Linked DNA regions of Pelodiscus sinensis. The protein of the gene in region 3 purifies or fractionates together with the protein of the main gene of each other region. This does not show direct contact. Links are inferred from orthologs where the notes say so. Each region holds a gene or a part of one and is shown on either strand. Other genes may lie near its edges.

Region 1 (7,585 bases), on a different chromosome or scaffold from region 3:
GCCATGTCACATCTTAAAGACCAAGTCCCCTCCCCCACACACTTTAGCCTTAGTGGCAACAGCAAGGGCTCACAAGTTGGTCATTTTCTCCCCATTGTTTTTTCATAGTAAATTTGTAATCACATAATACATGGTTTGAACTGGACATACTAGTGCTGAATTAATTCCAACACTAATGTACAGTTCACTTTACAAATGAACAATAAAACTTAACTGCCTTATGAGGTTTGTACCCAAGTGGTAAGAATTCTCCATGTATACCAGCTCATTCCTGCTTTGAGCTAATGACTATCAATTAGAAGTCAACATATGGTTTGTTCTAATTTATTAATATCAGCAGGATTACTTCATCGCAATACTGCTCTTATCCGTGTAGTGTTTAAGCTATGAAATTGAGGTAAACTGCTTCTTTCCTCCCAAGTTACCAGGGCTGAACCATAACAGAGCCTGAACATATTTCATAATTAAGTTCTCAATCTGAACCAGCCTGAGGTCCTCCTCCTCCCCCACTGTGGTTTAGGTCCTCTGTATTCTCTCCTCTCCACTTTGAATCTCATTTGAGAAGACCTGCTTCAGTAACCAGTGAACTTTTTGGAAAAGTTTAAGTTCACCCTGAAGCCCTTTCCCCAGCCTAATTCAACAGCAAAACTGGGGGTAATATTTTTAAAGTTAAAAGAACCATCATACAGAGAACAAAATAAGAGGAAAGCCCAGGCTTTCTTCATATACCATAAAACACAGAAAAAGGGCATAAGCCTCAAGGACTTCAGAAGTCACTTTTAATTATGAAAGCAATCTGTATGTTCTTACTACAATTCATCAAGCAATTTATTTTTAAAAAAATGTCGTTAATTTTTTTTAAAAAGTACTTACAAGTATCAAGACAAACCATTGTATCATCAAACTGTTCATCTTCCTCTTCAACAGGTGGTTGAGGAGATTTGGCCCTAGAATCAACAATAAAATTTGATGAGTTTTTCCTCAACTGTTTTTACAAAGTAATTAATACCTGGCTTCTCTTCAGAGATCTAATAATATTTAGTGCTTTGAAGTTTCTCTACCTGCTGTACTTGTTTTCCTCAATGTACTCAAAGTATCCCCGACCATGGTCTTCACGAGGCCTCTTCACACCTCTCTTTTTATCACCAGGTTTTTGTTCTGTTTTAGTATCGCCTACAGAAAGTAAGTTAAGAGAAAAATATGTTTAAGGTAATTCCTGTTGAGAAATGTGTTTTAGTTTTAGTTTTCTGGGGTGGTATTTCCCTAAATGCCAGGTTTCAAATTCAAACATGTAAGAAGTCTCCATATAAAAGATATCCATTTAATTTTTGGGCAGGTAACTGGTGTGCTCTTAATCATTTAGATAAAATCTATTAGGACAACACTGCAAATTTTAACGGCAGCACTAAGAATCTGACAATGATTTCAAGTTACCTCATGAATCGTCAGACTTGTGAAAAATGTGACAAGAATAATATGAACTTGTGTGTACAAGCTCAACAGAGAAGACACCTGCTGTGTTCAGACAAATGGGAGGTTAGGCAGAAAGCAGACCAGTAGCTCACTGTATTAAATGGATCGTTTACACCCTCCTTCCCTTCCCGCCGCGGGCACAGTGAAGCCAAGCACAAGGGCGCTACACAACTGCTGCGCCTCTCTCCCCGCGTGGCCACAGGCGCAGCTTGGCGGCGGCGCAGCTCCGCATGGGGCCTGGCCGCAGGGAAGGGGATTCCGCCTCCATTGTATCGAGCGTTCCAAAAACGCGAGCCTGAGCAGCAGCCAGGACGGAAGTAACGTCACGCCGCCGAACGTTCGTTTGCACAATACAGCGCGCCCCAGCGGCCCCTCCTGAACCGCCCCTCCCCCACGGCGCAGCAGCCCATGCCCCTCGCTCCCCCCCCCCATCCCCCGCCGCGCTCGGAGACTGGCGCAACGGTCCCGCCCTCCCCCATCGCCCTCGAGCAGCGACCCCACCTGCCCGAGACACCCCCCCACGAGGCCGCCGGTGGGCGGGGGGAGGAGGAATAAGGAGCGCGAATCCCCTCGGCAGCCGGGCAGGGCCCGGATCTCGTGCCGAGCTCCCGGAAAGGCCCCGGCCACGCACTCACCGCCGGCAGCCTGGGGCCCGGGGCGGCCGCCGCCGCCGCCGCCTTCCGCTTTCTTCTTGTCCTGCTGCGGCTGGTACTTGGCGGGGCCCGCCGAGGCGGCCGGCGCCGTTGCCGGGGGTCCCGGGGCGCCGCTTTTGCTGGGCGCCTCCTTGGCGGGCGCCCGCTGCTGGGGCTGCAGAAGCGGCGGCGGCTGCTGCTGGGGCTGCTGCTGCTGCTCCCCGTGCCCGTTGGCGTCGCCGGCCTCAGCCTCCTCCTCTTCCTCCTCGTCGGCGAGCTCGTCCTCCCCCTCCTGGAAGCCCTGGTCGTCTCCGTTCTCATCCTCCTCTTCCTCCTCCTCCGAGCCGCCCGCCTCCTCCTCCATCGGGCCGCCCCCGGCCCCCGCCCGGTCGCCGTTCTCCTCGCCCAGCTCCATGGCGTCGCCATCGGCCGCCTCCATCCCCTCCTCCTCGTCGTCCTCGGCGGTGGAGGCCGCGGCCTGGTCGGGGCCTCCCCCTTGGCCGATCCCGGCCGCCTCCCCCTCCATGCTGCCGTTGCCGGGCTCGGCGGCGCTGCCGGCGGGGCCTCCCCCGCCGGCCTCCTCTTGGTCTAGCGCGGCCTGGAGCCGCTCCATGAGCTCGGCCTTGAGGCCCTTGTCGGAGAGACGCCGCTTTTTCAGCTCCTCCTTCAGCTCCGACACTTTCAGCTTCTTCACGTTGACGGGCGAGCAGCTCATGGCGGCGGCGGCGCGGTGCCTGGCGGCGCTGGGCTCGGTCGGGCGGCGGCGCTGGGTCGAGGCCCCGGTGGGACGCGGCTGGGTGGGTGGCGCGGCTGGTTCGTGCGGCTGCGGCAGCTGCAGAGCGGACCCGCCTGGCGCCAAATCCTTTCACCGAGCTCGCGAGGGAGAGACGCGCCTCGCGGGGGCGAGCACGCAGCTTGGTGCCCGCCCTGCCCGCGCACGCAATATACCCCCCCCCCCTTTCCTACTTACCGTAAGTGCCGCCGAGCGCCTCCAAAACCCCACTACCGTAAATGCCCGCCCCAGCGCATTCAACCTGCCTAGCCCCAGCTTTTGCAGCGCCGCGAAAGGGGCAGGTATGAACCTTTCATGGGACAGGAGGAACACCAGTGCTCTTACCAAAGAGCCCCCGCGTGTTACTCTGGTTGTGCCACTGGCTGACCACGATTATAGACAGGAGCAGTGGAAGTGCAGCTGACTAGCTAGAAAGCTTCAACCTACAATCCCGTACCGTGTCCATTTAAATCTTGCATGTTGCCCAATAAGTAAGAAAAGATGTAGTCTCCCCTTCCAGAAGGGTAAATTGGAGTATTTTGGCTCTGCCTCAGGAAGCTGTGGGATCCCCATCTACATCATCCATCAGAAAAAGGGAAAAATACATTGTTAGTCTGTGGAACTGAAGGCTCCACTCCTGTGATCGGCTCCATGTACACAAATTGTGCCTGCTTGAACATCACTCAGGTTCCCTATAGGGTCCTCTTTCACCGATTGGCTTACAGAGTCAGAATCCAAGTACGGACCCGACAGCTCACACCTAGTCAGTCTGCAGAGTTCACAAGCATAGTAGGATCCAACCTCCTGGATCTAAGCCTTTGTCTGCCCATAAAAATTGTGCCGCCTTGATCATAACAGCAGTTACACCAGTAAAATGTTTTTAGGGTGCACAGTTATACCAATATGAAGGTGCTTAAACCAATTTAGTTTAGACCTTGTCTACACTAAAAAGGTTATACTGGTACAACTGAGTTATGAATAGGATTGATAACTGATATTGTAATAGGCTGACCTCTACCATGGGCACAGTTATACTAGCATAGAAGTGCCTTATACTGGTGTAACTGATTTTCCTTTCTGAACTAGAATAAGCTGTATTGTACATCACTAAGGGTGATGTACAATATTAACTATACTGGTATAATTAAAGCAGTACAGCATCTGTGTTCATAAAAGCTCTCATATTATTGCTCAGTCATCAGAAAAAAAAAATAATCCTCGAGTAGGGAGGATTCTCCCTTGAAATCAACCCTGAGTAATGCTCAGGTGACAGCAGCAAGGACTCGCTCTTTCGCACACACAGCCTGTAAAGAATATTAGAGGAAAGGTGGTGATAGCCCTGATCTTTTTCTAGCATTTATAAAGGTTAATAGATTTTACATCAAATTTAGAGCTGCCAAGTGAATCCTAAAATAGGGAGCCTCATGTCAATCTGGACCAGCTAAAGAGAGGTCAAGGTTGTTAGCTTGTGTCTGTATTAGGGGAAAGGTTGTTGTTTGGTCAGGGCTAGCCAACAAAGGTAATCAAACCCTAATCTTTTCATCTAAATTATGGTTGGGCAACCTAAGGCTGGTAGGCCACACATGGCTCGTCAGGGTAAGCCAGAAAGGTTGTTTACCTTGTGGATGCAGGTATGGCTACCCACAGCTCCTATTAGCTGCTGTTTGCCATTCTGGCCAATGGGAGCTGTGGAAAGTGGCACAAACCACTGTAAGTGACATTGTGTACACATAGCCAGATTTATTGTTTTAAGATGCCTTCCTATAGTTTGCAGACAACGCTGCATCAGTTTACAAGCCATTTTTGGGGTTTTCTTTGCAAGCGAAAGGGTAAACTGAACCCTAACAATGAATGGATTCAGTTTTGATATCACATGACTCCATGAACCTAAATACCATATTCATGTACTAATATGGCTGCCCATTGAAACACACAAATCCTAGCTTCCACCAGGAATTTTTACTCCCTAGCTTCAGATCCAAGCTTTACAGATTGATGGGCTCCTTTTAGCGTAAGCACTAGCTCCTGCCTTAATCCACTTAACACACATCTATATTGAATGGTACCCTCATTTTGACTCACAACAATAGTCCTACACTGAAGACAATTGTAAGGAAGCATCAAGAAATCAAATCCCTGTATGCATTCAATCATATTGGCCAACTTTAGTAATACTCTTCTTATACATCTATAGAGCAACCCTGGAGTATCAAAACGGCTAAGGATTTTCATGCATGTTGAAAGATTTACTTCCCCCAAAACATTCAAACTTAGGGGTCTAAAGTTAGGATCCTAAAGTAATATTTAGGCACCTAAATAGAAAGTCTAATTTTACAGAGATGTTTAACACATGCAGCACCCATTGAATTTTAATGGGAGGTGGGATTTTCAGCACCTCTGATCATTAAACCACTTTTGCTTATCCCTTGTCTACACTTAAGACTTAGATCAATGTATCTACATTGCATTACTAAGAATTGTGAAAAATTATGTCCCAAGCTCCAATGCAGTCACCATTGGCTACTGCTGGAGTGCTGGATTAACTACTGTGGTGGAAAAACCCTGTCAGATGCTGCAGCAAGTGTCCACCTATAATAGGGACGTTGACTATTCAATTTCACTATAACTATGTGAAAGCTTAGCAGTTACACAACTATTCAATATCTCCAGGGGCGGAGATGGCAGCCAGTGTACGCCAACCCCATTCTCGGGGAGTCCCCTGCCACACTGTGCTTCTGCCTCTGTTGGTCCATGAAGGGAACTAGTTCAAAAGCCAGCTCCCTGCACAGACTGGCTGCCTGCCACTCTGTGCTGCTGCCTCTGATACAGAGGCAGCAGCATGGGGTAGCAGCAGCCTCTGTCCATGGGGTCTGAGCTCTCCATGGACAAAAGCTGCTCCATGGGGAGCTTGGACACCCGTGGATAAGGACTGCTACTGCAAAGCTTGGAGTTCTTGCTGCAGACAGAGGCTGCTCAGTGGCAGCCTCCTCTTCTCCCCCCCCCCCCATGCTGCTGCCTCTGATAGGAGTCTTTGGCAGTTGGAACTGAGAAAGAATGGACATGAAAATGATTAAGATACACATAGAACCCTGTTTAGCTTCATTTTGTATGAACTAGCATCAGTAGGCTTCTGAAAAGTGACAGATACATTATAGTCATACAATCACTCTGTTAAAGACAATCTTTTCCCAAATAAAAGACTTACTAGTCTTGAGTCCTATAAATGTTTCAGAATTTTAAGGTTTTTTTTTGGGGGGGGGGGGGGCTATAGCCCTATTTTAAAAACAAAAAGTGTAATTAGGAGGCATGAGAGAAATATATTCCCCCCCCCCTTTTTTTAAAATAGCTTAGACAGCTGAGAGGACAGGACTTTACTCAAGTTTTCATCACCCCTTGTTTCAGCTCAGCCAAGCATATCTGAAACATTCACCTTTAGACAATTATGAACCTCTGAAAATAGGGAGTTCTAGTAGCAACTGTTTTACCACAATAAAACTTAGAGTTACTCAGCTAGAATGACAGATATAAAAACCCTCTACTAATGTTAAATTACAAGTGTCCATATTCTAGATCTTATGGCACATACCATTCTGTCACATGATAAAAGACACCCTTGTGCATCTAAACTGAAAGTGACAAGTAGGTGCTATAATTAAAGTAACCATAATACCCTAATTCCTTGTGGGGTCTATTTTCTTCTCTACTTATTCTGCATTTATTTTAGTTTATTTTTTCTTCTTGAAACATCCCTCAAAGATACTCTTAGAGCGTGTCTTTCGAACGCTTATTTTGCGCCCTGCTACAGTTTAACTTCGGTCTCCTCCTAGTTGACATTGATGCATACACATTTACTCCTTGAGTCTGGTTTTCTTATTTCGTTTGCCAAACTTCACTTCTCCTTATCACTAAATGGCTCTCTTCAAATTCCTGGCCCCCACTGACCATGGTCCTTAGTTTCCACTGCTTTTTGTCATCCATGTTCTTGGAAGGACTTTCTCCATCCTTCTTCCCCCTTCTCCCTCTCCCCCCAGAATAAAATATGGAAATTGAAGGAGTGGCAGCATATACTCAGTAGCTTCCACACTCCCATGTACTGTTTAAGCAGTTTTTGCTCAGAGACCCAATCATTCAACAGACTATCACAAGTTTTAGACTGGGCCCTGAGCGAGTGGAAGCTATGCCGTTTGATCAGCGCCCCATCCCACGCACAGCCTTGATTAGACTGATTCCAATTTATTTATGCCATTCTGTCTGTCACATGGCAGGAGTCTTCTGTGTGTCTGATAGCAATTCCGATCCTTTACATCTTCCAGACTGAGAGAGACAGACAGGGGCACTTCTCTGAATGTCTACAGTTTTAGTTTTGCTTTCTCCCATCTTCTCCCCTTTTACCCTGTGCTTCCCTTGATGCATTCAGTGGTCATTGGAGGATGGGGTCTGACATCAGTCCACTTCTTTCAGTGTCTGAATTCTAGCTGAAACAAAAAAACAGGACTATGTAGCACTTTAAAGACTAACAAGATGGCCCACGAAAGCTCATCACCTAATAAACCATCTTGTTAGTCTTTAAAGTGCTACATAGTCCTGTTTTTTGTTTCAGCTAGACCAGACTAACACGGCTACATTTCTATCAGTATTCTGAATTCTAGCTGATCACCATTGTTATAAATGAGCCTTTGCAAAACAAAACAGAACTGACACCAGCAGG
Region 2 (7,477 bases), on a different chromosome or scaffold from region 3:
TGGTGCCTTCCAGGCAAAGCCTGACACAGGACATTTGCACTAGCTGCTCAAATCCCTAACTACAGTGATGTTTGTGCCCAGAGACCATACAGAGCTTCTTTTTGAATCAGAGGTAACACATAGGGCCCTACTAACTTCACAGCCAAGAAAAATGCATCAAGGACCAAGAAATCTGGCTTTGTCCTCCCCTCCCTGCCCCCCATGAAATCTGGTGCTCCGGGTTTTTACCCTATTCTATGCAGATTTTACAGGGAAGACCAGTGTTTCTCAAACTGGGGGTCCTGGTAATTGCAGGGAGGTTATACATTTTAGGGGGTCATAATATTGCCACCATTATGTATGTGATGCCTTGAGAACAGAGCTCCCAGCTAGGGCTCTGCAGCTGCAGAAATAAGGGCAGCAATATCACAACCCCACTTTCAATAACTTTGCAACCTGTCTCCCACAACTCCTTTTTGGGCTAGGACCATAGAATTATTGAAAATCCTGTGACCATAAAATCGGCCCAAATGGACCATGAATTTCTTAAGGCCTTAGTAATAAGGGGGCTAGCTGCCCTTCCCAGGATCCCTGCCACGCAGGTACCATTGCAAGTGGACCTGACAAAGCGTGCATGGGGACAGCGGTTTCTGACCATGGAGGCAGTTCACACCCTCTGCCCCAGCCCCAAAACTACCTCAGACACATCTGACTTCCTGAGTGACTCCTGCCACTAAGCTCAAAGGCAGGGGAGCCAGAGTCTAGACACCCACAGCCATGGGTCATGTGTCTAGTTCCCCTCCTCCTGCAAGGGGAGAGAGCAGGGAACACAAACCAGGAGAGTTATCCTTGGACATACCATTCTCCACCCCCCAGGGGCATGTCCCCTGGGGCAGGATATTCACACTGTCAGTCATCCCCTCACTGCCCCCCACCACTGCACTGGAGGTTTTCAGATTGGGCAGCACCATTCCCCCTCACAATTCCCTGCATGGGCCTCCCCGAAAAAAGGGCAGATTCCCCACCACCACTGTTGGAGGGTAGGGTGGGGGGGGGGGACGACAAAATGGCCCCTCCTCCAGGGCACCGCCATTAACAGAAAAGGGAAAAAACATGTATGCCACCCCCCCCACGCCATTCCCGGGGGAAGGGGGGTGTGGGTACCCTCCCCCCCCTTCGGCCCGCGCCATTCCCGAGGGGAGGGGTGTGTGTACCCTCCCCCCCTTCGGTCCGCGCCATTCCGGAGGGGAGGGGTGTGTGTACCCTCCCCCCGCTTCGGCCCGCGCCATTCCCGAGGGGAGGGGTGTGTGTACCCTCCCCCCGCTTCGGCCCGCGCCATTCCCGAGGGGAGGGGTGTGTGTACCCTCCCCCCCCCTTCGGCCCGCGCCATTCCCGAGGGGGAGGGGTGTGTGCACCCCCCCCTTCGGCCCGCGCCATTCCCGAGGGGGAGGGGTGTGTGTACCCCCCCTTCGGCCCGCGCTATTCCCGAGGGGGAGGGGTGTGTGTGTACCCTCCCCCCCCCGTCGGCCCGCGCCATTCCCGAGGGGGAGGGGTGTGTGTACCCCCCCTTCGGCCCGCGCTATTCCCGAGGGGGAGGGGTGTGTGTGTACCCTCCCCCCCCCCGTCGGCCCGCGCCATTCCCGAGGGGAGGGGTGTGTGTACCCCCCCCCCCTTCGGCCCGCGCCATTCCCGAGGGGGAGGGGTGTGTGTACCCTCCCCCCCTTCGGCCCGCGCCATTCCCGAGGGGGAGGGGTGTGTGTGTACCCTCCCCCCCCTTCGGCCCGCGCCATTCCCGAGGGGGAGGGGTGTGTGTGTACCCTCCCCCCCCTTCGGCCCGCGCCATTCCCGAGGGGGAGGGGTGTGTGTACCCTCCCCCCCTTCGGCCCGCGCCATTCCCGAGGGGGAGGGATGTGTGCACCCTCCTTCGGCCCGCGCCATTCCCGAGGGGGAGGGATGTGTGCACCCTCCCCCCCCTTCGGCCCGCGCCATTCCCGAGGGGGAGGGGTGTGTGCACCCTCCTTCGGCCCGCGCCATTCCCGAGGGGGAGGGATGTGTGTACCCTCCCCCCCCTTCGGCCCGCGCCATTCCCGAGGGGGAGGGGTGTGTGTACCCTCCCCCCCCCCTTCGGCCCGCGCCATTCCCGAGGGGGAGGGGTGTGTGTACCCTCCCCCCCCCCTTCGGCCCGCGCCATTCCCGAGGGGGAGGGGTGTGTGTACCCTCCCCCCCCCCTTCGGCCCGCGCCATTCCCGAGGGGGAGGGATGTGTGTACCCTCTCCCCCCTTCGGCCCGCGCCATTCCCGAGGGGGAGGGGTGTGTGTGTACCCTCCCCCCCCTTCGGCCCGCGCCATTCCCGAGGGGGAGGGGTGTGTGTGTACCCTCCCCCCCCTTCGGCCCGCGCCATTCCCGAGGGGGAGGGGTGTGTGTGTACCCTCCCCCCCCTTCGGCCCGCGCCATTCCCGAGGGGGAGGGGTGTGTGTGTACCCTCCCCCCCCCCCTTCGGCCCGCGCCATTCCCGAGGGGGAGGGGTGTGTGTGTACCCTCCCCCCCCCCTTCGGCCCGCGCCATTCCCGAGGGGGAGGGGTGTGTGCACCCTCCTTCGGCCCGCGCCATTCCCGAGGGGGAGGGGTGTGTGTACCCTCCCCCCCCCCTTCGGCCCGCGCCATTCCCGAGGGGGAGGGATGTGTGTGTACCCTCCCCCCCCCCTTCGGCCCGCGCCATTCCCGAGGGGGAGGGGTGTGTGCACCCTCCTTCGGCCCGCGCCATTCCCGAGGGGGAGGGGTGTGTGTACCCTCCCCCCCCCCTTCGGCCCGCGCCATTCCCGAGGGGGAGGGGTGTGTGCACCCTCCTTCGGCCCGCGCCAGTCCCGGGGTGTGGAGCCCCCGCTCACTCACCGCTAGACCCCGCTCGGCTCCGCGTCGCTTTCCCCAGCTCGCGGCAGCCGCCTCACGCCGAGCTTCTCACAAAATGGCGTCCCGCCGCCCTCTGCGCCGCGCAGCCCCGGGCTAAGCGGTGCCCGCCCCCACACTCCCCCATTGGAGGGCGCGAAACCTGTCTCAGCAATGATTGACTAGCAATGGCGTCGATCACAGTACAGGCCAATGAGAGCAGAGAGGATGAGGGCGAGTCCAGGACTGGGCTGTGCCCCTTGCGCCTTAACGGGACGGAAATAAAGATACTGATTGGCTGAAGAACGTGTCACTTCATAGCCCTACTTCAGTTGTCCACTCTGATTGGCCTGTCATTCTTTCCCCGTCTCTATTACAATCTTTCCATTCTGATTGGAGAAGCAGCTCCTCCGGCCCCGCCCTAGCTCATGGGTCCCTATGATTGGTTAAAGGTTTTTCTTAGCCGACCCCACTCTAGTTTTCTCCGCACTGGTTGGCTACTGTGTATGTTAATCAACTCTCAACTGTTAGCTGACCCAATGGAGGAAAAGGCGGGCTCTAGCGTGTGTGATTGGAAGAGCTCCCTGGTGGCGGAATTTCCCATTGGTCACAGCGGGGATGACGATTAGGTGTCCTGACGCTGCCATTGCTGAGCCGGAAGGCGGGTCATGGCCCAGGTGGGAGGGGCGAGCAGCGAGCGCGAGGCTGAGGGCTGCGCGCGCTGGCGCCAGTCGGGGCTAGGTCCACGAGGGGGCTGGGGGAGCTGACGGGGCGGGAGGAGAAGGGGGGTCTGGGGGAGCTGACGGGGCGGGGCAAGGGCTCAGGTGGGTCCTGTGCCCGCTGCCCCCTCCTGAGCCCCTTGCTACACCGTGTGGGTCCCACTCCACTGGGCAAGGGCTGCACACGCGCTTCATGGGGCTCCATTGAGACCCCCCCCAGGCACGGGGGGAGGCCAGCAACGCGTCCTCCTGGGGGAGCTACTGCCCTTCGCACAGGCTGTGAGACAGAGGCACTCGGGTCGGACCAGAAGTGCCCCCCCAAGGGATGAGGGGCCAGCTGCTCAGCGCACGCATGCACAAAAGACATGCTGGGCTCAGTGGGTTTCTTTGAGCCGTGTCCCCTGCAGCCGTCCTCGTGGCTCCACAACACGTGTGCTCTCGGTTCTGACATGCCCCCAGGCTCACTCCCACCGCAGCACTGCCTGGTTTCACTCACCCTAGACTTCCATCACCACATCATGCAGCTCGTTCCAGGAGGACACAGGTTCAGCAGTAAAGGAGAACGCTTTTGGTGAGCACAGGAGGGAGGCAACTCCAGTCAGGGCATGAAATCCTCTCTCTGGAGGTGGTCAGTGTCAATAAGCAGAGGTTAGTGACCTGGAATTTATTCAGACTGGAATATTTAATGGTATTTCCCTGATAGAAGGTTGCTGTAACAGGAAACGGCAGCTGACCAGGACCCACTTGAGGTGGCACCAGCTTGAACTTGGCTCTGCTGCACATGCTCCGCAGCGGCTGGCAACCAGCAGGAGGATGCTCCATCACCCCACCTGCCAAGAGCACCTTCCTCAGTGGGCAGGGGAGAAGCTGCAGGGGCGCTCCTAGCCGACACCGAATGCACGGACACGCTGCTGACTGGCGACGCCTGCCAGTGCCAGTACGCCGTGGACCAGGAAGAGAGAGGGGCCGAGAGTGGCGGCACGGCCCTCCCAGTGTTGGCCACGTTGTCAGCGGATGTTCAAAAGAAGCGCCCCTGCTGCAGAAAGGGGTGGCAAGACGGAGCGGTGGGAAGCAAGCAGGAGAGAAGGAAGAAGTGGCCCAGGGCTTTGGAAGGGTTGGTGCATTAAGGGTCTCAACCCCACCAACCTGACCAGTGAATTGAATCCTGGGCCTTAGGGCCCTGGGCCAGGGCTGGGTGAGGGGGTGGGCCCGAGCCCCCCTACCTTCCCCCAGCTGCCAGCGGGCCGAGCAGGCCTGCAACATTGGAGTGTTGTGAGAGACTGTCACCTGATTAGATTTGGCCGACGGATCAGTGTCCTCCCAGCCAGGGAGAACACTGGGGCATGCCCAAGTGGGCGTCGGGACGACGGGGAGCGAGAGGACCTCCCTGGGGCAGAGGACCCTGCCTGCCACATTGCACACATAGAACCCAGATGTGCCACATGTGGCCCACCAGACGGGTAGACAATTCCTCATATCTCTGTTGCTCAGAACTAAGTGGGAATGTAGCATAGACATGAGTGACCTTTCTCTTTGTCCCATCATGGTTAAATTACAGCTTTTTGCTTGCTCTGGGTCTCTCTCCTTTTCCCCTGTGGGCACGATTTCTTTACCTTTCACCCTTTGTGGAGAGTAGGTCTTTTTTTCACCAGCAAAGATCTATGTCTCTATATCCTGTAAGTTTGGATGAATTTCTTCTCCACGCTAACATTAAATGCTAAAGGTCCAGCTTTTAAAATGATGGTACCTGCCTCAGCTTATGTGGGACCTGGAGGTAAAGTCCATGAAGAAACAATGCAGGAAGAAGGACAAAGCCATGGTGGCTGTCTTAAAATGTGCATAAGATCTTCCCCGTGGGTAACTCTGGCACTACCTGTTCTTATCCATCTATATCCAATCCTAGAGCCTAGTCTAGTGGTCTGTGTTAATTCATCATGTGCCCATCCAATGTTGCTACCTTTCCCAATATTATCAATAGCCTCAAAATATTAAATGTTAAAGGCCCATCTTTTGAGATTATATGTTTCCATGAGACTTACTGTTTATTTAAAAGATCACGATAGGTCCCTGATTGCTGTGAAAAACTAGAGCTCTAACCATAAATGCAAAAAGACCTAATATGTAGTATTCATGAACCAATCTAATTATTATTATTTTGTGGCTCAACTCAACCTGTCTCTAAGGTACTTCTCCAAGAGGTTCTGAGTGAATAGAAGTCCCTGGAGGGATCATGTTTCCCTTCATGTTTCTTTGTGGTTACAGGGGCAGAGTTGCTTCATAAAAGGGAAGCAGAGAACAAGGCCAATCCCTGGTCCGATGCAGGGACCTTGACATCCAAATGGATTCCCACCACCTCACTGGGTATCTTATGCATCAGTCTGAACCAGTGTCCACCTAATATTTCCATTCTTGCCTTAATCTACTTGTGACTGCCCCCGATCCAAGACCTTGCAATACAAGTGATTTCCAATTTCTTTCCGCACATCTTTAAGGAGCAGGATGTACAGCAGAGGATCCAAGACATTGCCAAGTGTGGTAAGGCACAGCGCTACCTGATGGTAAAAGAAGAGGTTTGTTTCAAAGAGGCAGAGTTGGCTGTCTTGATCGTATGGAAGCCTCTCTCTCTGGTATTTGTAGAGGGAGGTCACCTGGTAAGGCACACAGAGCAGGAAGAAGGAGATGATGATGAGGGAAATGAATCCGTAGATTTGCTGCTTTTCCTCCTGATCCAGTGATGGCACCTGCCTGAGCTTGTGCAGGACCCGAAGGTAGAAGAAGCCCATGAAGAAACAAGGTAGGAAAAAGGACAAAGGCATGGTGGCCATCTTAAAATATGCATAGGACCTCCCCAGTGGATAACCCTCATTGCAGCGCTCTGGTTCTAGATTCTTCAGCAGTAGACCAATCCCCACGGAACAGACGCTGAGCACCAGCCCCCAAGCCATGGCACTGACCTTGGTGGCACCACATATTGTGTTTAGCCTCCGGAACTCAAGGGGATGGACCAGGCCTATGTAGCGCTCCATAGCAATGAGGCACAGGAAACCATTCTTGGCATAAAAGTTGGTGATGAAGCCCCAGCTGACTGCCAGGCAGGCCTTGAGCCCCAAAACCCAGTTGTGATCCAAATAGCTGTAGTAGATCCAGAAAGGTAGCATCAAGATCTGCAGTAGGTCAGCGACCACCAGGTTCAACATATAGACAGAGAGGACGATGGACTTCTTTATCTGGGATACCAGGACCCACATTGCCAGGCAGTTCAGTGGCAAGCCAGCCCCCAGTACCACAGAGTAGACAGGGATGAGGAAGTATTTGGTGGTGTTAAAGGCCATTGGGCAGGACACAGAAGATGCCGTGCTATTCATTCTACTCAGCAGAGACAGTGGTTGTTACCAAGGGTGTCAGTTGCTGTCCTGCATGGAGGGGGACACAGACCCCTGTTCTCAGGGTCACCACGTGACCACCAGGGTGGAGGCTACATCCAGTTGTCCAGGGAGACTGCCTCAAAGAGGAACCGTCTCACTTAGCTTACTCCCAAGTTGTACTCCTCAAGGGGTCTGTAAGAGAGAGAGAGAGAGAGAACAAGGGCTGGAGGAAAGCAGCAAGGCAGCCCAAGCATCTGACTCTATCCTTTGTTCCTTGCTCTCTTTATCAAACAACAATGGCTGGGATTCCACTGCCAAGAAACCCTTGTGTTGGGATATGAGTTAGAGAACAAGCCTGAAACTAGGGTTTTTAACTCCTTGTTAGTCATGGGCAGCGAGTACCACAGGCAAGGGAAGGCACTACCTTCGCAAAACAGCCTATGCTCTGGCCAGAAAGGGCCATGGTGTGTCTGCTTGGCCAAAAGGTGCTCCCACTGGGTGGGGTCACGCCACCCACTAGGAGGAGGGA
Region 3 (6,990 bases):
CCAAAACTTGTTGAGTTAAAAAAAAAAAATTGACCTTTTTAAGAGTAGAGCAGGCATTGCCCTTTTAAGGCGGCCATTTTGAAGTCTGCCCGAGCGGATGGATGGACTGGGCTCTTTCTTGGAGGGAGAATGATGGGGGGGGGAGCTGGGCCATCTCACCTTCCACTGGAATTTCTTCACGCCCCCCCCCCCTCTGGGGGCCACGTTTCCCAGTTTGGGAACCCATGAGACTGTTTTGGGGTAGAAATGAGGCAGGGCTGGACAGGCATGGGTGCATGTCCCCAGCTGTGGGGCTAGAGCAACATTCCTCTGAGTTCAAACACCGATCAATTTCACTGCCACAGGGACTTCATATTGGTCAGTTTCAGGATGTTCCCATGGTGCTACAACCATGGGGTTCGTGATCCACCAGGGGATCGTAGGGGACTGTTCCAGATTCACGTGACTCTAACACGCCAGACGCAGCTACATGGTCTGTACGACCGTAGGCTGCGTCTAGACGGGCAAGTTTTTCCACATTTTCCGCTTTTGCGGAAAAGCTTGCCAGCTGTCTACACTGGCCGCTTGAATTTCCGCAAGAACGCTGACGATCTCATGTTCAAATGCTTCTGCGCAAGAGGGCCAGTGTAGATAATGGGGTATTGTTTTGCGCAAAAAAGCCCCGCTGGCGAAAATGGCGATCGGGGCTTTCTTGCGCAAAACCGCGTCTAGATTGGCACGGACGCTTTTCCACAAAAAGTGCTTTTGCGGAAAAGCGTCCGTGCCAATCTAGATGCTCTTTTCCGCAAATGCTTTTCACGGAAAACCTTTTCCGGGAAAAGCATTTGCGGAAAATCATGCCTGTCTAGATGCAGCCGTAGTGTTTTCCCAACAGGCATTTCTGGAATTGGGGCTGTTCCCGGGCCAGTCTTTTAACCGTAGAATCCTAGGGTTGGACGAGCCCTTCAAGACACGCGTGGCCAATCCATGGCTTGTGAGCCTCGTGCAGCTCTTTCCCCCTTAAAGTGCGTGTCACCTCACTGGATTTTAACGGGAGCAGCCAGATCACTGCTGCACCCTTGGGTGGGGGGGGAGGTTGCCCCAAAGGGAACCATGTGAGGTGTCTCATGAAAGCTTCTGTTCTACTGATTCTGTATGTGCTATTCATGTACTTGTATGATATCTGTATGTGGAGTTATAAGCATGTACTCTGTAGGGATGCTGGAAAATTCTCTGTGGCCAGGAATGCTCAGCCAATGGCTATGCTAATTAGCAAGGCTCCAGGCTATGCTAATTAGCAAGGCTCCAGGCTATGCTAATTAGCAAGGCTCCAGGCTATGCTAATTAGCAAGGGCTGTGTCTAGACTGGCAAGTTTTTCGGCAAAAGCAGCCTGATGTGTCCTAAAAAGACTAAGTCTGTGTTTTTTCAAGGGGCAGTGACTTTTTTTTTTTTTGGCTTAATTTTGGTGCGGCTCTTCGTGTTATTTCCGCCGCTGATTCGGCTCTCTTTGTTCAATGGGTTGGCCACCCCGGCCTCAGGAGGTCATCAAGTCCAGCCCCCTGCCCAAAGCAGGACCAACCCCAACTCAATCAACCCAGCCAGGGCTTGGTCAAGCCGGGACTTAAACACCTCTAGGGACGGAGACTCCACCTCCTCCCTAGGGAACCCAGCCCAGGACATGAACAGTTCTTTCATCCTCGCACCTGTCAATCACTAGTTCCAGGAGCACGACATGGGAATGCTGGGTAAATTCAGGGTCGTTCTCCACATAGTCATACTGCTCCAGCAAAGCCACCAGATCCAGCTCGCAGGACACTTTATTGGGGAACTTCCAGGAGGGATAGCGCGCGGCTCCCGCCCGGGAGAAAACGTCGACGATGGCTCCTTGTAGGTCGGTGAGGTCCTTCCTCAAGCTCTCCATGCAGTTCGGATCGCCCAGCAGGTGCGCCATTCGGACCGGGCAGGAGGGGCAGATCTGCAGGAGGGGACAGATTCACTAGCTGGGCCCCTAGGGAAAGGGGGGCAGGTGTTTTACGGCTGTGGGTGCACGACAGGCCGTGCCCCTGGCCCGGCACACGTGTGCACGAGGGACGCGTGTGCTGCACGAGCACCAGCCCAGCCAGACATGGGGCCTCCCCGCCCCTGATCCCAGCTCCATCCCCACTCTGATCCCAGCCTCCCCTCCCACCCCGATCCCAGCTCCGCCCCACTCTGATCCCAGCCTCCCCCCCCGATCCCAGCCCCACCCCCCACACTGATCCCAGCCTACCCCCCAATCCCAGCCCCGCCCCCCACTCTGATCCCAGCCTCCCCCCCGATCCCAGCCCCACCCCCCACACTGATCCCAGCCTACCCCCCAATCCCAGCCCCGCCCCCCACTCTGATCCCAGCCTCCCCCCCAGATCCCAGCTCCGCCCCCCACTCTGATTCCAGCCTCCCCCCCAGATCCCAGCCCTGCCCCCCACTCTGATCCCAGCCTCCCCCCAGATCCCAGCCCTGCCCCCCACTCTGATCCCAGCCTCCCCCCCCAGATCCCAGCTCCACCCCCCACTCTGATCCCAGCCTCCCCCCCAGATCCCAGCTCCACCCCCCACTCTGATCCCAGCCTCCCCCCCAGATCCCAGCTCCGCCCCCCACTCTGATCCCAGCCTCCCCCCCAGATCCCAGCTCCGCCCCCCACTCTGATCCCAGCCTCCCCCCCAGATCCCAGCCCCGCCCCCCACTCTGATCCCAGCCTCCCCCCCAGATCCCAGCCCCGCCCCCCACTCTGATCCCAGCCTCCCCCCCAGATCCCAGCCCCGCCCCCCACTCTGATCCCAGCCTCCCCCGGCCCCACAGCAGCTAACTCAGCTGGCAGCTGTTCAGCGGACAGAACCATCCAATCCAAGGGGGGGCACTCCGCTGCTTTACACCCCCCTCCCCCCGCGTGGAACAGTCCATTTTCTTCCCCTGCGCAGCACCGCCCCCTGGAGGACGGGGGAGCCAAGCGCGGGCAGAGCGAAGGGCAGCGGCGTCAGCAGGGCTACTGCGCATGCTCCGTGCCTCTCGCGCGCTCCCGGCGCCCCGAAACCATGGCGACCTCAGCCCCCCCTCCCCCCGCGCATGGTACTGCCCACCCGGCGGGGGCTGAGGCCCCGAGCCAGGCCGCGCCGCCCGAGCGGGGGTGGGACCCCGGGGATACGGGCGCTGGGGCGGGACCCACCTGCCGAGCCTCCGCCCCCCCGGCTCGGAGCGGATCCTTCGCGCCCCCGTGGCCGCGCGCCTCGTTACCACGGCAACCGGGCGGAACGAACCATCTGCGCCGGAAACTGTTCGCCGCGCTTCCGGCTCCCTCTCCCCCGAGTGGGCCTGCCCCACGGAAGGCCAGCCCCTCCTCAACTATTCTGCTCGTCTTTCACGGGTTTGGTTTCCCCCAGTAGGGCGTCACGAGAGAAGCGCTCCCCCCCTCCCCGTTCTCTCAGTGGAATATTCCGAGTTGGCTCCCTCACAGTGAGGCAAGCCCGGCGGGCTGCGCGCGCACCCACTGCGTGGCTCCCCCCCACCCCACTGGTATCGCCGCCCAGCGGACACCCCCCCAGTTCCGGAGTAGAACAGTCCCCCTGGGCTGCGCGCGCAGGCTCTGCGTGGCTGCCCCCACCCCACTGGTATCGCCGCCCAGCGGACACCCCCCTAATCCCGGAGTAGAACAGTCCCCCTGGGCTGCGCGCGCAGGCTCTGCGTGGCTGCCCCCACCCCACTGGTATCGCCGCCCAGCGGATACCCCCATAATCCCGGAGTAGAACAGTCCCCCTGGGCTGCGCGCGCAGGCTCTGCGTGGCTCCCCCCACCCCACTGGTATCGCCGCCCAGCGGACACCCCCCTAATCCCGGAGTAGAACAGTCCCCCTGGGCTGCGCGCGCAGGCTCTGCGTGGCTGCCCCCACCCCACTGGTATCGCCGCCCAGCGGACACCCCCCCCTAATCCCGGAGTAGAACAGTCCCCCTGGGCTGCGCGCGCAGCCGCTACGCAGGGCGAGGCAGCGCGCGCAGCGGCCGCCATTTTGGGTCGGTGTCCGCCGGCCGCTCGCTCCCGTCGCCCCAGGCCAGGCCGCTGAGGAGGCGCCATGCCGGCCGGGCCGGTGCAGGCGCTGCCGCCCGCGCAGCCAGCGCCCCCCGAGCCCAAACAGGTACCGGCCGGGCCGGGCCCGCACCCTCCCCCCCCCCCGCGCGGGCAGGCCCCGGGGCGCGGTGCATGCTGGGAGGGTGACCCGAGCGCGGCGCGCCCGGCCCCGCCCTCCGCGCCTGGGGGGGGGGTCTGGATCTGCCCCCCCCGCGCATGCCCGTCAGATCCAGACCCCCCCTCACAGGCACCGGGGGGGGCAGATCCAGACCCCCCCTCACAGGCACCGGGGGGGGCAGATCCAGACCCCCCCTTCACAGGCACGGGGGGGGCAGATCCAGACCCCCCCTTCACAGGCACGGGGGGGGCAGATCCAGACCCCCCTTCACAGGCACGGGGGGGGCAGATCCAGACCCCCCTTCACAGGCACGGGGGGGGCAGATCCAGACCCCCCTTCACAGGCACGGGGGGGGCAGATCCAGACCCCCCCTTCACAGGCACGGGGGGGGCAGATCCAGACCCCCCCTTCACAGGCACGGGGGGGGCAGATCCAGACCCCCCCCTTCACAGGCACGGGGGGGGCAGATCCAGACCCCCCCCTTCACAGGCACGGGGGGGGCAGATCCAGACCCCCCCTCACAGGCACCGGGGGGGGCAGATCCAGACCCCCCCTTCACAGGCACGGGGGGGGCAGATCCAGACCCCCCCTTCACAGGCACGGGGGGGGCAGATCCAGACCCCCCTTCACAGGCACGGGGGGGGCAGATCCAGACCCCCCTTCACAGGCACGGGGGGGGCAGATCCAGACCCCCCCTTCACAGGCACGGGGGGGGCAGATCCAGACCCCCCCTTCACAGGCACGGGGGGGGCAGATCCAGACCCCCCCTTCACAGGCACGGGGGGGGCAGATCCAGACCCCCCCTTCACAGGCACGGGGGGGGCAGATCCAGACCCCCCCCTTCACAGGCACGGGGGGGGCAGATCCAGACCCCCCCTCACAGGCACCGGGGGGGGCAGATCCAGACCCCCCCTTCACAGGCACGGGGGGGGGCAGATCCAGACCCCCCCTCACAGGCACCGGGGGGGGCAGATCCAGACCCCCCCTTCACAGGCACGGGGGGGGCAGATCCAGACCCCCCCTTCACAGGCACGGGGGGGGCAGATCCAGACCCCCCCCTTCACAGGCAGGGGGGGGCAGATCCAGACCCCCCCTCACAGGCACGGGGGGGGGCAGATCCAGACCCCCCTCACAGGCACGGGGGGGGGGCAGATCCAGACCCCCCTCACAGGCACGGGGGGGGGGCAGATCCAGACCCCCCTCAGGCACGGGGGGGGCAGATCCAGACCCCCCTCAGGCACGGGGGGGCAGATCCAGACCCCCCTCAGGCACGGGGGGGGCAGATCCAGACCCCCCTCAGGCACGGGGGGGGCAGATCCAGACCCCCCTCAGGCACGGGGGGGGCAGATCCAGACCCCCCCTCACAGGCACGGGGGGAGGCAGATCCAGACCCCCCCCCTCACAGGCACGGGGGGGGGGCAGATCCAGACCCCCCCCTCACAGGCACGGGGGGGGGCAGATCCAGACCCCCCCCCTCACAGGCACGGGGGGGGCAGATCCAGACCCCCCCCCACAGGCACGGGGGGGGGGGCAGATCCAGACCCCCCCCCCACAGGCACGGGGGGGGCAGATCCAGACCCCCCTCTCACAGGCGCAGGGGGGGGGGGCAGACCCACAGGTCGGGCCTGGGCAGGGCTCGGAGCGGAGCTGCCAAGGCCAGGGGGGCCAGGGACACAGCAGATCTGGGTCCAGAACAGATCTGGGGGGCAGGAAGGGGTTGGGGGGGAAGCGGTCCTTCTGTGCTGGCCTGGCCTGTAGGTTCCCCCTGTGCCCCAGTACAGGGACGTGCCCCCCACTTTTGGGACCTCTGGGAGTTCCTGAGCACGTGGGTTAAATCTGTGTTTCTCAACCTTTCTCCATAAAGTATCCCTTTAAAAAAAACTAAACATTTTCAGGGGGGACACACTTTTTTCCCCCCCACCATTGCAACACATTTGTTGCAACAACGTCATCGGCGCCGGGCGGGCGATGACGTTTTTGGGTGTAAAAAGGGCAAAACGAATCAAGCGCTGTCAAACTGAAAACCCGAATTCCGTTTTCTCCAAATGTCGGTGGTGACGTACCCCCAGACTTCTCTCAAGTACCCCCTAAGTCCGGGCTTCCCAAACTGGGGGGCGTGAAGAAATTCCGTGGTGGGGGGGGCCCATCAACTCCTCCCCCCCCTAAGTTTTGCTGCTATTTTTGTTTTTCGGCCAGGTCAGTTTTCTTTTTCTTTTCTTTTCTTTTCTTTTCTTTTCTTTTCTTTTCTTTTCTTTTCTTTTCTTTTCTTTTCGCTCAAGTTCTGCTGCGGGGTGGGTGAGTGGGAGGGTTTCTCAAAAATCAAAAACAGGGTGGTGATGCCGAAAAGTTTGGGAACCATTGCCCTAAAGGGACTCATACCACTGGTTTCGAAACACTGGGGTAACCGCCCCGCCAGCCGCTGGGAGAGCATTCTCTGCCCCGGGCGCGCGATCCTGGCGCGGCTGCCCCGGGCGTGCAGTCATCTAGCGGCCTGGCTCTGGCCATTGGAGAGTCGTAGGCTGGCGATATGCCAATGCGGGCAATGTCATACCTCATGAATAAACAGATCCGGGTCGGTCTTAAAGCCACCCAAGTGTTTGTCCCAGCGCTCTAGTTTTCTCCAGAGGGGCACTGACCACGGTGTGTGTGCGTACTATTGATCCCTCTGTCACCTGGCCCCCGCTAGGGGGTGCTGTGCACCTGGGGCAAAGGATGAATTCAAAAAAGCAGTTAATTAGATAACCATGAATATCTCGGCAGTTACGCACTGCCGACTCTGCAGTATAAAGCTTTA

What was found. Proteins that work in one complex are often made in the same cells at the same time.
Region 1: the proteins of SF3A1 (region 3) and HNRNPU purify together in Homo sapiens (affinity purification with mass spectrometry; 3 studies listed by BioGRID and IntAct, with this or other methods). This does not show direct contact. The link is inferred for Pelodiscus sinensis from reciprocal best matches to the Homo sapiens genes SF3A1 and HNRNPU.
Region 2: the proteins of SF3A1 (region 3) and HNRNPC fractionate together in Homo sapiens (co-fractionation; 3 studies listed by BioGRID and IntAct, with this or other methods). This does not show direct contact. The link is inferred for Pelodiscus sinensis from reciprocal best matches to the Homo sapiens genes SF3A1 and HNRNPC.

The regions. Positions count from the first base shown.
Region 1 is NC_134713.1:132,534,134-132,541,718, forward strand, and holds the start of HNRNPU (heterogeneous nuclear ribonucleoprotein U), read right to left. Parts: upstream 3,010-7,585; 5' UTR 2,821-3,009; coding exon 2,109-2,820; intron 1,174-2,108; coding exon 1,062-1,173; intron 948-1,061; coding exon 874-947; intron 1-873. UniProt on the Homo sapiens protein: DNA- and RNA-binding protein involved in several cellular processes such as nuclear chromatin organization, telomere-length regulation, transcription, mRNA alternative splicing and stability, Xist-mediated transcriptional silencing and mitotic cell progression.
Region 2 is NW_027465841.1:161,168-168,644, forward strand, and holds the start of HNRNPC (heterogeneous nuclear ribonucleoproteins C1/C2), read right to left. Parts: upstream 3,010-7,477; 5' UTR 2,871-3,009; intron 1-2,870. Other genes in the region: G-protein coupled receptor 4-like, read right to left, coding at 5,998-6,948. UniProt on the Homo sapiens protein: Binds pre-mRNA and nucleates the assembly of 40S hnRNP particles. Interacts with poly-U tracts in the 3'-UTR or 5'-UTR of mRNA and modulates the stability and the level of translation of bound mRNA molecules. Single HNRNPC tetramers bind 230-240 nucleotides.
Region 3 is NW_027465935.1:507,820-514,809, reverse strand, and holds the start of SF3A1 (splicing factor 3A subunit 1), read left to right. Parts: upstream 1-3,985; 5' UTR 3,986-4,082; coding exon 4,083-4,145; intron 4,146-6,990. Other genes in the region: CCDC157 (coiled-coil domain-containing protein 157), read right to left, coding at 1,684-1,955, 3,274-3,276. UniProt on the Homo sapiens protein: Component of the 17S U2 SnRNP complex of the spliceosome, a large ribonucleoprotein complex that removes introns from transcribed pre-mRNAs.